Arabidopsis thaliana: one gene and its partners. The protein of the gene in region 1 interacts with the protein of each later gene in a pairwise test. Each region holds a gene or a part of one and is shown in the gene's direction. Other genes may lie near its edges.

Region 1 (5,078 bases):
TAAGATGAGTTGCATCCACAACTATCACTTTCCGCATTGCCCTAAAACCTTCAATGCAAGCGCCTAATGCAATGAAGAGGTACTTGAACTTTTTCTCTCCTTCCAACTCCACATAAGTTACTGTCCCTGGATTTACCTTCTCTAACATGTAAAGATAAGAAAATAACATCGTGTAGCTTCTTTCCGGAGTCCCTCGCACATCACTAACATGTAGCATTTTGCCTCTTAAGGCAGTGGAGTATGAACAATGCACCCCAAGTCTTCCTCTTACAATCGACATAATGTTTTTTGGAGTTGGGGTCTCTAAATTTCCGGGATAATCACAATGTAAAACCGATGCTATTAATCTTGGTGTGCCTCGCTGTATACTGTTGCTTGTAGTCTCAACACTCCGAGAGCATGTATGCATCTTTCTATGCACTCTAACACTCCAAAAATGAGATTTTTTAGTTCTCGCAACTCTTAGATACCAAGTACACCCTTTAGAAGCTTGGCGGCATCGTAGCATAAGTCTCAACGGGTCTGACTTAATAGTATAGACTCCAAAAACTTCTTTCTTTGCAGCTCTGTTAACCAATTCCCACACAGCCTCCCTTGAACAAAATTCTTGACCAATTTCAATACCCGTACCATCATCCCATTCTATAACCTGCGGAGTAACTTCTACACTTCGTGGAATATCGTGAATATCATCATAATCAATCCTATCATCCTCATCTTGTTCCTCAACAGAATTCACCGGCCTTTCCATCGGCCTTTCGATAGCCACGATCTCCGTACCTACTACATTCTCACAATCATTCACATCATTATCATATCCATCATGCACCATCTCACATACTTCATTTAAAACATCATCCTCTATTACATTTACACCAACTGAACTTCGACGCTCCGGTACAGAAATTTCCTCTCTCCTCTCAACTCCTATACCATTTAATTCCTCCACATGCAAAACAGGAATCCGACTCTCTTCATCAGATTCTGTTAAAAATATGAAGACATCCTCATCATTTACAATATATGTCTCTCTCCTAACTTTAGACAGATTGTAACTCAGTTTCAACTTGACAGAAGCTTCATCAATCGCAACCTTCTTCATGATCTTGTCAACTAACATCGAATAGCTAATCTTCTCCAAACTACTCGTCTTAAACGATATAACATATAGTGAATTTTTACCAATCCACTCATTCACTTCAGAATAGTATCCTCCAAAGTCAAAATGTACCTTAGTGTGGATCTTCTTCTTCATCGCTCCTGAAAATACAACCAGTTCAACTCCAATCAAACATTTTAATAGTTATACCACATGTACTCTTATCATACGTTGAAATCAATCTCTCGTCGCACTCGTCTCTACTGAACCTAATTCGTTACCTTTCAATTGATTTCCAATGTTAATACATACCTATTCGTTAAACTAATTGGTTAATCTAAACTTTGCAAACACAAACCCCCCAAATCTTTAATATGAAATCTCGGAATTCAAATTCAACTCACATTCAACCTACATTCCTTTGCTCATCACCTCAAATAACGTTTCGGCAACCTCTAATCGATTACTCTTTACTTTGCAAACCAATCATCAAACTATCAAATTGAATCGAGCTGGGAATTATATAGAATTCAAAATCCCAATCTAAAATCACAATGCACCAATGTCAAAGGAAATATGAGAAGAAACTGACCTAATTCGTGGCTTTTACGCCGGATTTCAAGTCGGCGGCATGAGGAAATCGATGGTGGCCGACGAAGAAGATGAACGTCGACCAAAGAAGAAGAACACGACGACGAAGAGGAGAATCTCCGAACTCGATTTTCTTTATTTAGCTTTTGAATTTCTTTTTCATTTTTTTAATCAACTCATTAAGGGTACAACTGGTATATCACATTTTCGGTGGCATTCAGATTAACTTATGGCAGTCCAGATCAGTTTTTTCAAAAAAGTGGCATAAGTGATAAAAGTCCCCCCCTGCGGTTTGGTTTCTTGTCCGCTCCAAAACTTGTGAGGGCATTTTAGTCATTACAACATGGGAACTGGATTTTTAAACTGGTGAATTCGTTAGCGTTTATGTGAATAATCATCCATCATCAGGAAAGATCCGAAGAAAAGCGACGCCGTTTTAAAGGAGATGGATAAACAACCGGCGACCAGTTGGAGTATCCATACCCGGCCGGAGATAATCGCCAAGTACGAGATCTTCGAGCGAGTCGGATCCGGAGCTTACGCCGACGTTTACAGAGCTCGCCGTCTCTCCGACGGTCTAATCGTCGCGCTCAAGGAGATTTTCGATTACCAATCTGCGTTCCGGGAGATTGACGCGCTCACCATCCTCAATGGATCTCCTAATGTAGTTGTTATGCACGAATACTTCTGGCGTGAGGAAGAGAACGCTGTGCTTGTGCTTGAGTTTCTTAGGTCGGATCTCGCTGCGGTGATCCGAGATGGTAAGAGGAAGAAGAAGGTAGAAGGAGGGGATGGATTCTCGGTTGGGGAGATTAAGAGATGGATGATTCAGATTTTAACCGGTGTTGATGCTTGTCATCGGAATTTGATTGTACATAGAGATTTGAAGCCTGGGAATATGTTGATTTCTGATGATGGAGTTCTTAAGCTTGCTGATTTTGGTCAGGTGAGATTATGATTGTTACTGATTGTGTTAGTTATTTCATTGTTTGATGCACAAATATGAGAAACCTCTGAATGAAAAATGCTTGGTTTGCTTGAAATTTGGAAGAGTTAGTGTAATCAAGTGGCTAGACCTTATCATTTAGTGTAATCTATGAGTTTCTAAATGTGTGTTGGCTTCTTGGTTCATATACAGGCTAGGATACTCATGGAGCATGATATTGTAGCTTCAGATGAAAACCAACAAGCTTACAAACTGGAAGACAAAGATGGAGAAACCAGCGAACCACCAGAAGTTATTCCTGATTATGAGAACTCACCTAGGCAAGGGTCTGATGGTCAGGAACGGGAAGCGATGAGTAAAGACGAGTACTTCCGACAGGTGGAAGAGCTCAAGGCTAAACAGGTTGTTAGAGATGATACTGATAAGGACTCGAATGTGCATGATGGAGACATATCTTGCCTTGCAACGTGCACTGTTAGTGAAATGGATGATGATCTCGGTAGGAACTCGTTTTCTTACGATGCTGACGAAGCAGTGGATGATACACAGGGTTTGATGACATCTTGTGTGGGAACCCGATGGTTTAGGCCACCAGAACTGCTCTATGGATCTACGATGTATGGGTTAGAGGTCGATCTATGGTCGCTTGGTTGTGTGTTTGCAGAACTCTTGTCTCTTGAGCCTTTGTTCCCAGGAATTTCAGATATTGATCAGATCAGCAGAGTGACCAATGTGCTGGGAAATTTAAATGAAGAGGTCTGGCCTGGTTGTGTTGATCTTCCAGACTACAAGTCAATCTCATTTGCTAAAGTAGAATCTCCTCTTGGTATTGAAGGATGCCTTCCCAACCATTCAGGGGATGTGATATCGCTGCTCAAGAAGCTTATCTGTTATGATCCAGCTAGTAGAGCTACTACTATGGAGATGCTGAATGACAAATATTTAAGTGAAGAGCCTCTTCCAGTTCCAGTTTCAGAGCTCTATGTGCCTCCGACAATGAGTGGACCAGATGAGGATTCTCCGAGAAAGTGGAATGATTACAGAGAAATGGATTCAGATTCAGATTTTGATGGCTTTGGACCCATGAATGTAAAGCCTACCAGTAGTGGATTTACAATAGAATTCCCCTGACCTTGGCATTTAAGGTACGCAGTCAAAAGCTCTGGCTCGCTTAAACACATAAATCAGTCTCTTCTCTCTCTCTCTTTCTTCTTCAAAGAGAATGGGTATATACCAAAACCTGACATGTGTTTCTTTAGGTCTTGATTGATGCAACACTCTTTGTTGTTTGAAGATCTTGTTACAGAATACCGCTTAGAAAATTGTTAACTTTTCGTTAGGACATTGTTTAGGTATCAATGGCGGCAAAAACTTTTGAAATTCGTTTGCTCATTGATCTCACAACTTTTTTTTGCGCTTTGTTTCTCTCATCGATCTCAGTTTTATGTGTTTATCTCTCCTTGGCAGAGTCCATGGTTGAGCATCTTGATCATCCCGACTTCCCCTGAATTCGCCTACTTTGTCAAAAATGTGTTGTGTGTGTGTGTGTGTTGTTCCTCTCTCTCTGCCTCCCTCGTATGAAAATGGTAACATTTACAATTGGAAAGTCGGTGTTAGCCTTTAGCTATTAGCTGAAGAGCTAGTTTTCTTGTTGCCCAGGCCATTCTTTACCCTATTTTTCATCTGAAGTAACAATGAAACAAAATCTATATATACTCGAGTTTTGCTTTCTAGGATCTGTATTTCTTAATTGTTTCTATATTTTGATCAATTTTGAACTTTTCATATCAAGTTATCAACATGTGTAGTAGCAACCCTTCAATAATGAGACCATGGAATAAAAGCCTATCCTATATGTCATCCAGTTTTTGCTAAGATAAATTATTTTCAGTTACCCAAATTACATAATCAAAACTGATATCATAAACAACAAAAATAGCACACACAAAAATCATAACTGAATCTGATTCTTCCAGAAATGTGAACTGTTGTTTACTATAAAAAGAAGAAAACCAGAACCACAATACATTTGACTCCATGAATCAGTCATACTAGTCCAACATACTAAATATAAAACTTAAGGGGCAATATTGAAAATTAGACAAAAGTTGATAGACCAAAAGATAAATTAATAACAGTTACCAGTATCTATCGCCAAGTCTCCCCTAGGGTTTTTTTTCTCTGAAACGGACATCGAGAAATTCCAGGAGTGAGTTTTGACAATCGGAGAGAAATGGGGTCGACAGAAAAAGAGCAGACGACGCAACATCACCCGCCTCACATCAGCAGTCTCGTCGTACGTCCCTCCGGAAGCAACGACAGAGAAGACGGCCGCAACGCCGCCGGAGACTATGAGCCCGGAGAAGTCTCTCGTGACCGGCCTTCGTTTAATCGCTCGGATCGGTATAAGGGTGACAATGGTGGTTCGTATCTCTTCTAAAC
Region 2 (4,309 bases), 5.0 Mb from region 1:
CAAGAAAACTTGCATGAGGTTTTAAATATTCCTTGGAAAAAAAGTGAATATGAGAAAAGGGAGTGACAAAAGGGTTTAGGAGAGATTTTGGTGGCTTGGGAGATGGTGAATTGGAGCCACTTCTTTGTCTCTACGTCAAATCTTCTCAGTGGAATTTAAAGTTATATTATTGGCATTCAATTAAAAATGAAACACACATTAAAGAAGAGTGTCAAAAGTTGTTAATGGTTTCTATAAATTAGTTGATCCACTTTTAAGTTTTAACTTCTTATGATTTGGCAAGGAGGAAAAAGTATATAAAAAGTGGGCCTATCTATTGATAAAAAGACAAATGGAGTTCAATAGACTAGGGAATAATGATATCAACATATATGTATGAGATGTGTTTTGATTGATAAATAATTGTGAAAAAGACCACTCATTTTTACACAAGACATTCTCTCTCGATCTCCTCGTTTTCTCTCGATCAAAATGCTACTCTACGCTCCCTTCCCATAATGAAAACATCCATGCATGTACATTATCATATTTTTACTAATTTAGGGATCGAAAAGATTAATTTATAAAAAAGTAGAATACTATATACGTATCAATTAATATATGTGTTCAATGCAAAGCCGATGCAAACTTATATATTTCCTATCGTGATAATCTTATATAATAGATATTAGTTGTGTTTGATATATATAATAATTGCAGTACATATAATTCTTAACACCCATATAATGTAAAATTTTCTGATACAATTCTAAACCACATGTGTGCATTTTGAGTTTCACTTCATAGTCGGATTCTGCAAACTCCCCACATTAATTGGTCCACAAGGTACAAAACTTATCTCACATATATTCACCAATATATACAAATGTCAAATGCCTTTATAATGTATCACTCTTGATTGTTGATATTAGATAAGAATGTTGATATCATTACAAATGAAATGATATATTAGATTAAATTGGTAAATTTATTGTTACACCTCTAACAACGAAAAAAAGTGAGACAGTATAGCTACAAAACGGAGCGGGTTGAAAGAAAGAGGAAGTGGACAATGGGGATACAAAGTTTGAAAGGCACATCAAAAGTGGTGGGAGCAAAAGTTTGTCGTCAAGTAATTGGAATATAATGGCATGCATACACGAAAGCTGAAGATGCTACGACGTTTAGGATTTGGACTTACATTGTTTTTCTTCCTTTTTTCAGCTTCGGTATCTGCGATGTTATCGATAATGCTCTGATTTGGTGATAACCCCAATTAGATAGATGATTAACATAATTAAGTGGGATCGGATGAGACAAAACATATAGTGTCTTTAGATTAGTTGAGAAAGATTAGAGACAACGCGTGCCATTTCTGGTAAAACCATTACAACCACTCCACGTAAAAAGAATACATTATGTTTGTTAAATTTTCACATTTCTAATTTCTTACCCTCCATTTTGTAGTTTTACTACATCTCTACTATTTATATCTATTTTTATCCTATTCATTCTAAATTTGGATACTTTTACTGTTGACTGAAACTTGTAGCCTAGTTGTTGTTTCTTTTCACATGTACTCATGTATACCCAAGCTTAATGAAATTTTAAAGAAAATAAACAAGCGGTTTAGTTTTAATTTAATGGGCCGTTTCTTTATTTCAACGAAGCCCAATAGAGCCTGTTGAAAAAGGGTTTAGTTATTGTTGTTTACACATAAGGGCTTGAGTTTTATTTATTTCACGAAACGAGTAGAAACTTTTGTTTTATCAAAATCAGAACCCTCCTCTTTTACAGATTCAGGCCAATTCTAAATTCCCATCGTTCGTTCAATTTCAGACGTTAACCTCGGCTTGAAGGCTTCAAATTTCTGTGAATCCACGACGGAGATTGTAAGTTCCGATCATACTCACGACGATCTCATTCTATATGCACTAGAATCTTTTCCTCCTCCATTGATTAGATGATATGTTTATCCAGAACATGATGGATTCAATTAAGGCTTTTATTTTGTTGATCTGAATGGTACTGAGTTATGAATTGTTCGAGCAGATTGGTGAATTACGTTAGAATCAGTAATCAGCAAAAGGGTTAATGGAAGGAGAGAAGCTTATAGAAGATCGCGGCTTTTTGGCTGCTCCTCTGACCTTCGTCGTCGTCGTTGTCTTCCAATTGCTATCCAAGTGGCTTGACCAATTGAAGAAGGTAAAAAAGATAATACTTTTTGGCTTTTTTTCATATCCACATGAATCATCGTTTTGAATTATGGAATTTCTTCAGAAAGGGTCGAAGAACACGAGGGAATCAGAGCTGCGAACCGAAATTAAGCAGCTTTTGAGAGAGGCTAGTGCATTGTCTCAGTAAGCCATTTTGTTGTCACATTTTGTTTTGGTTCTAGTGATTTGAGTTAAGGAAGGTGCAGTTGTTGAAAAATATATATATGAGTGTTGTTGATTAGAGATTTATCTATTGTTTACTTGCAGGCCAGCCACATTTGCGCAAGCAGCGAAACTTAGGAGGTCAGCAGCTACTAAAGAGAAAGAACTTGCACAATGTGAGTATGCATACATTATTAGTTCTACATTGATTGCTTAGTGAGCGTAGAGTTCATGAAATTCAGAAATATGATTGATTGCTTAGTGAGTGTAGAGATCATGAAATTCAGAAATATGATTGATTGCTTTGTGAGTGTAGAGTTCATGAAATTCAGAAATATGATGCAACAGTTAGTTAGCTTTAAACATGAATACTATCTGGTAGCAGATATTCCTACTAAAGCACTGCATCATCATGGTGTAGTATTGGTGTGTGTGTGTATTTGTTAATTCTCATTTTGAAATTTTAGATCTGGAGCAGCATCACAAAGAAATCAAGCTTTCATACGATATGTATGGGAAGGGTCTGCTTGCTTCGAAGGTAGCTTAGTTTGTGTGCTCAAGCTTCTTCTTTTTTTCCGTCTAAAACTCCTTAATCGAGATGTGCTAAGAACTTTGTTTCTAGGTTGTGATATACCTAATCTTGGTATTGTGCTTCTGGAGGACTCCAATTGCCATTATCGCTAAGCAACTTGTTCAACCGTTTGGTGAGTAGTTTACTTTTACCAGGTTAAAGCTCGCTTATGGTATATAACACATAGGAAAAAAATGAATGTGGTGTGTTTCACAGGGACTTTGTTATCTTGGGGAACAGGAGGTCACATGACAGGCCATGTAATGGTAAGTTCCTTCTTCTCAATCCATTTATTTGGGCTTGTTCTTGATTGAGAGTGTTGGTTGGGTAAAAATGCAGGTCGGGATCATACCGTGGCTCATACTCTCAAACAGAGTGAGCAAATATGTGTGTAGGTTCGTGGAGTTCTAAATCGCATCCCTGAAAAGAGTGAAGATTGGATGGTTTTTGAGTTCAAAGTTGTAGCCTTTTAGGAGACACTTGTGGCAGAAATTGTGCTTCTCTTTTTGTTCCTAATCTTCCTTAACAATGTATATTTATATGACTCTTTTTCTCTGGTTGTTTGTTGGATTTTACCAATAACAAGTAGTTCGTTTTTGAGAGTTGAGCAGGTTGTTACCGTAGAAGCAGCCCCAATATTTACCCAATGTGTATATATACACCATAACAAACACATTGTCTCTATTCCTCTACGTGTTGTCAATTTTTATCTTGTAACACCGACTTTGTAAAATCAGATTCTAAAGACGCGTGTACTTATTCAACACGATGCCAATGCATGTGGTTCATTAAGATGTAGCATTATATCACCGAAAATGGAAGAGAGAAATAAAAATACTTACTATTATTAAAAGTGGGTAGCTTGGTGAAGGCACTAAAGTTTAATGGGAGAATCTTTTTAGCAATTAATTCGAGGGCATTATAATATCCACTTCCAACCACCACATTACTTAATTAAGGAAAACAATTTAAATCATAGTATCTTGTTTGGTTTGAAAGGAACGTGCACGTGTCACATCATCTACACTTGTCTTTCTAAATCAAAGAACTTGATTGGATTTGGTTAAGCCTATTAGTAAGAGTTAATAAGACAGAACCAAAGAAAAGGGTTTGGTTAGAGGGGCTAATTGGGAGATGGGAAGTGCAATAAATAAGAAGAAGGTTCATTAAATAGTTGTGTATGTGGGCATCCAAAGTCCCATCTTAATAATTTAATAATCTCCTCGGGATAGATAACAATCTTCTCTTCTTCTTCTTCTTCTTCTCTCCATTTTCCTAGAACATTAAAAGACAAATATGGAGCATTGTAATTTAATTAATCCTAAAGGTCATTGTGATATCTCACTTTCGTCTTTAAGGGAGGGGGGATGTTAGAAAAATG
Region 3 (3,158 bases), on another chromosome or scaffold:
ACATTGAGCTTCTTCGCGGACAGAGACACTATCTCTCTCTCTCTCTACCCTTTGGATCTTTCTTCTCGATCAATTATCCATTTTGCCCAGATTTTTTCCAGAAGCTCATCGAATTCGTAAGCTTTCGCGCCTTTTCCTCTCTTTAATTTATTTGTTAATCAATTTTGAATGTGTTGTATCTCTAGGGTTTATAATTTCAGTTTCACCCTTGTTTTCTATTGTTTCGCGGAATAATCTCTTGTCATGGAAGGTTTAGATTGATTCGACCTTTTTGATCTTGACCTAATTTATTCCAATTTTCGTAAAATTGTTCCTTAAGACCTGTTTCTCTGACTAGCTCAGATTGATTTTGGTATCTGAATCAATTGCGGAACCCTAACTGGCAGATCAATTCGAGAAGTTTTGATTTTGTTTGAAGATAGTGAATTGCGAGTTCAGTGTGCTAATATCTGCTTGTAATTCTTACTCTTCAATTGTTTTCATAGATCGAATCACAATGTTTGAAATTTGGTTTCACTGTTGCTGAGTGTGTTTGGAGGAGAAGCTTGATTGGTTCGGTGTTTCACTGTTTGAAGATTATAAGAGTTATGGAGAATGGTGGTCAGTATGATAATGCGCGGTTCAAGCCCGATTACTTCAAAGGTGCACAATCTATGGTAAGACTTAAGATTTTTGGTTTCCTAAAGATATGTTTTTGTTAGTGTGATTGAAGTTATATAAGCAAAGAATGTTTGTTACAGTGGAATATGATTCCCCAGCATCAGATTAAGGAACAACATAATGCGTTGGTGATGAATAAGAAGATCATGTCCATCCTTGCTGAGAGAGACGCTGCTGTACATGAAAGAAATCAAGCTGTCTCTGCTAAAAAGGAAGCTGTCGCTGCTCGGGACGAAGCGCTTCAGCAACGTGACAAAGCTCTTTCTGAGAGAGATAAAGCTTTGATAGAGAGAGATAATGCTTATGCTGCTCTTCAACACCATGAAAATAGTCTCAACTTTGCTTTGTCTGGTGGGAAGTGTGTTGATGGAGATGATTGTTTTGGTATTGGGGAACCCCACAAACTTGAAGTCTTCCCTTTGTCAACTATTCCGCCTGAGGTTACAAACACGAAGGTGGTGAACAAAAGGAAGAAAGAGAACAAGCAGGGACTATCAAAGGTGAAAAAAGTGGGTGAAGATCTGAACCGTCGAGTTCCTGCTCCTGGAAAGAAATCTAGAACAGATTGGGACAGTCAAGATGTCGGTTTGAACTTAGTCACCTTCGATGAGACGACAATGCCTGTACCCATGTGTTCGTGCACAGGCTCTACGCGTCAGTGTTACAAATGGGGAAATGGCGGCTGGCAATCGTCTTGCTGCACAACCACCTTATCCCAGTATCCATTACCGCAGATGCCAAACAAGAGGCATTCTCGGATGGGCGGTAGGAAAATGAGCGGAAACGTTTTCTCGAGATTACTCAGCCGTTTATCAGCAGAAGGATATGATCTCTCGTGTCCTGTTGATCTTAAAGACTATTGGGCTAGGCACGGGACAAACCGCTACATCACTATCAAGTAGCCTCTGTTGTTTACACAGTCCAAGTATGTTTCTCTCGTCTTCTTAAGATTAGGTGTTGTCTTTGTCTTTATTGTCCATAGTTTGTTCTTTGTTGTGTATGGTAAAACCATTGTTATGTGTATCTTTTGGATGGGCAAAAATGGTTTGCATAAAAAATCTGTGTTTTGACCTCAAAAAATAAAATAAAATCGTAACAGTTAAAAATCAAAATCTGTTACCCCTTTGATAGCAAAATCTGTTACCCCTTTTTTCTTTCACTTGTTAGTTTCTTTTTATACCGAGAGGAGAGAACAAAAAATAAAACACAAAGTAAGCATAAACAACAACAAAATGATGGAGAAAGCCACAGTGGCGCATGTGGAGACGCATCAACGGTCACAAGAGATATGGTTTCTTGGCGCCGCAAGAGCCTTCTTGCAAATTCCGAATCCGGGGATTGTCAAAGTTTTTGTCCTAAGCAGCTTGACTACATTCACCTCAGGAATGGCTTTAGTCATTGAGTGGATCTGTCACGGAAAGAGTCACACGGGATTCGGGTGGATCATCTACTATGCATTGTTCTTGATGTGTCTTCCTCTTGTCATCTTGATCGGTCTTCATATTCTCGTCAGGCGCGGCTCAGATCAGATTGTGGATTCAACTCCAAGCAAAGAACCGTGTGTGGTGCAGAATCAGAGTACCGAGACGACTAAACGAACTGAAGAAACGGTGAAAAACAGCTGCCAAAGTTTAGCCGTTGTGGTTGCTCCGGATGACAAGAAGATGCCGAGGATAAAACGCGCAGTGTCATTCCCGTCTCACGGCGAAGTAAGATCATGTCGAACTCGTTAGCAAATTAAAACTTAGTGTGGTTCATTCAAAAAAATAACTTTGATGTGGTTAGCTATCAGATCGATTCAAGAATCTAATAATCTCTTTTGTGATATGTTTGTTATTCAGCATTTTATCTTTTCCAATAATCCAACGACCAATGATCTTCAAAAATTCGAATTACATCTTTCTTTCTTTTTTCCCCTCTTATGAGCTGAGTTCAATATATATATATATATATATATATATATATATATATATATATATATATATTGATGTACTATATATTGTTAGTTAAAAGCAAAAGATGAAAAAGTCTTACAATGGGTTTTGGTTTTTCTTTGAAATTTTGTAACAACCCAAGTAAAATACTAGATCCTCTGTTTTTTAGGGAAAGTATTTTTTGCAAAATTTTGAATTGCTATAAAGTAGAGTTTTGGAAAAACTAAAATAAAAAATCTTTACATTCAAGGTAAAAATCTCTACTTCTTTGAAATAATGCCACGTGTCAGTTCAGCGAGGAATAATATGTGTGAGTCTCATGGGTTGTTTGAGTCAATTTCGTTACCGGTTCTACAATAAGAAGTTACTTTGGCCCAAATAGAAAGAAATTTTACTTATCAAGTGGCCGAAAGGTGGCCCCAAAAAAACAAGGAAGTAAATCTACTAATGTACATTTGTCGCTACATAATTGGTCTAAGATAAATTACTTATATAGAATACTGTTATGGTGATTTACCCAATTTTTAGCCAAATGTGGTAAATTTAATTTCTAAACAAACTTAC

What was found.
Region 2: the proteins of CAK1AT (region 1) and AT4G16444 interact in a protein complementation assay, tested with the Arabidopsis thaliana proteins (one large-scale study listed by BioGRID).
Region 3: the proteins of CAK1AT (region 1) and AT2G21237 interact in a protein complementation assay, tested with the Arabidopsis thaliana proteins (one large-scale study listed by BioGRID).

Annotation. Positions count from the first base shown.
Region 1 is NC_003075.7:14,286,336-14,291,413, forward strand, and holds CAK1AT (CDK-activating kinase 1AT), read left to right. Parts: upstream 1-2,061; 5' UTR 2,062-2,135; coding exon 2,136-2,636; intron 2,637-2,828; coding exon 2,829-3,767; 3' UTR 3,768-3,781; exon of another isoform or gene 3,782-4,103; 3' UTR 4,104-4,578; downstream 4,579-5,078. Other genes in the region: AT4G28990 (RNA-binding protein-like protein), read left to right, coding at 4,870-5,059. UniProt on the Arabidopsis thaliana protein: CDK-activating kinase that modulates CDKD-2 and CDKD-3 activities by phosphorylation of the T-loop. Activates CDKD-2 C-terminal domain (CTD) kinase activity. Activates CDKA-1 probably by phosphorylation.
Region 2 is NC_003075.7:9,273,821-9,278,129, reverse strand, and holds AT4G16444 (tail-anchored protein insertion receptor WRB-like protein), read left to right. Parts: upstream 1-1,682; 5' UTR 1,683-1,871; intron 1,872-2,031; 5' UTR 2,032-2,073; coding exon 2,074-2,184; intron 2,185-2,259; coding exon 2,260-2,339; intron 2,340-2,462; coding exon 2,463-2,533; intron 2,534-2,824; coding exon 2,825-2,895; intron 2,896-2,979; coding exon 2,980-3,061; intron 3,062-3,144; coding exon 3,145-3,194; intron 3,195-3,267; coding exon 3,268-3,339; 3' UTR 3,340-3,692; downstream 3,693-4,309.
Region 3 is NC_003071.7:9,099,919-9,103,076, reverse strand, and holds AT2G21237 (uncharacterized protein), read left to right. Parts: upstream 1-1,861; 5' UTR 1,862-1,892; coding exon 1,893-2,393; 3' UTR 2,394-2,541; downstream 2,542-3,158. Other genes in the region: BPC4 (basic pentacysteine 4), read left to right, coding at 588-656, 741-1,562.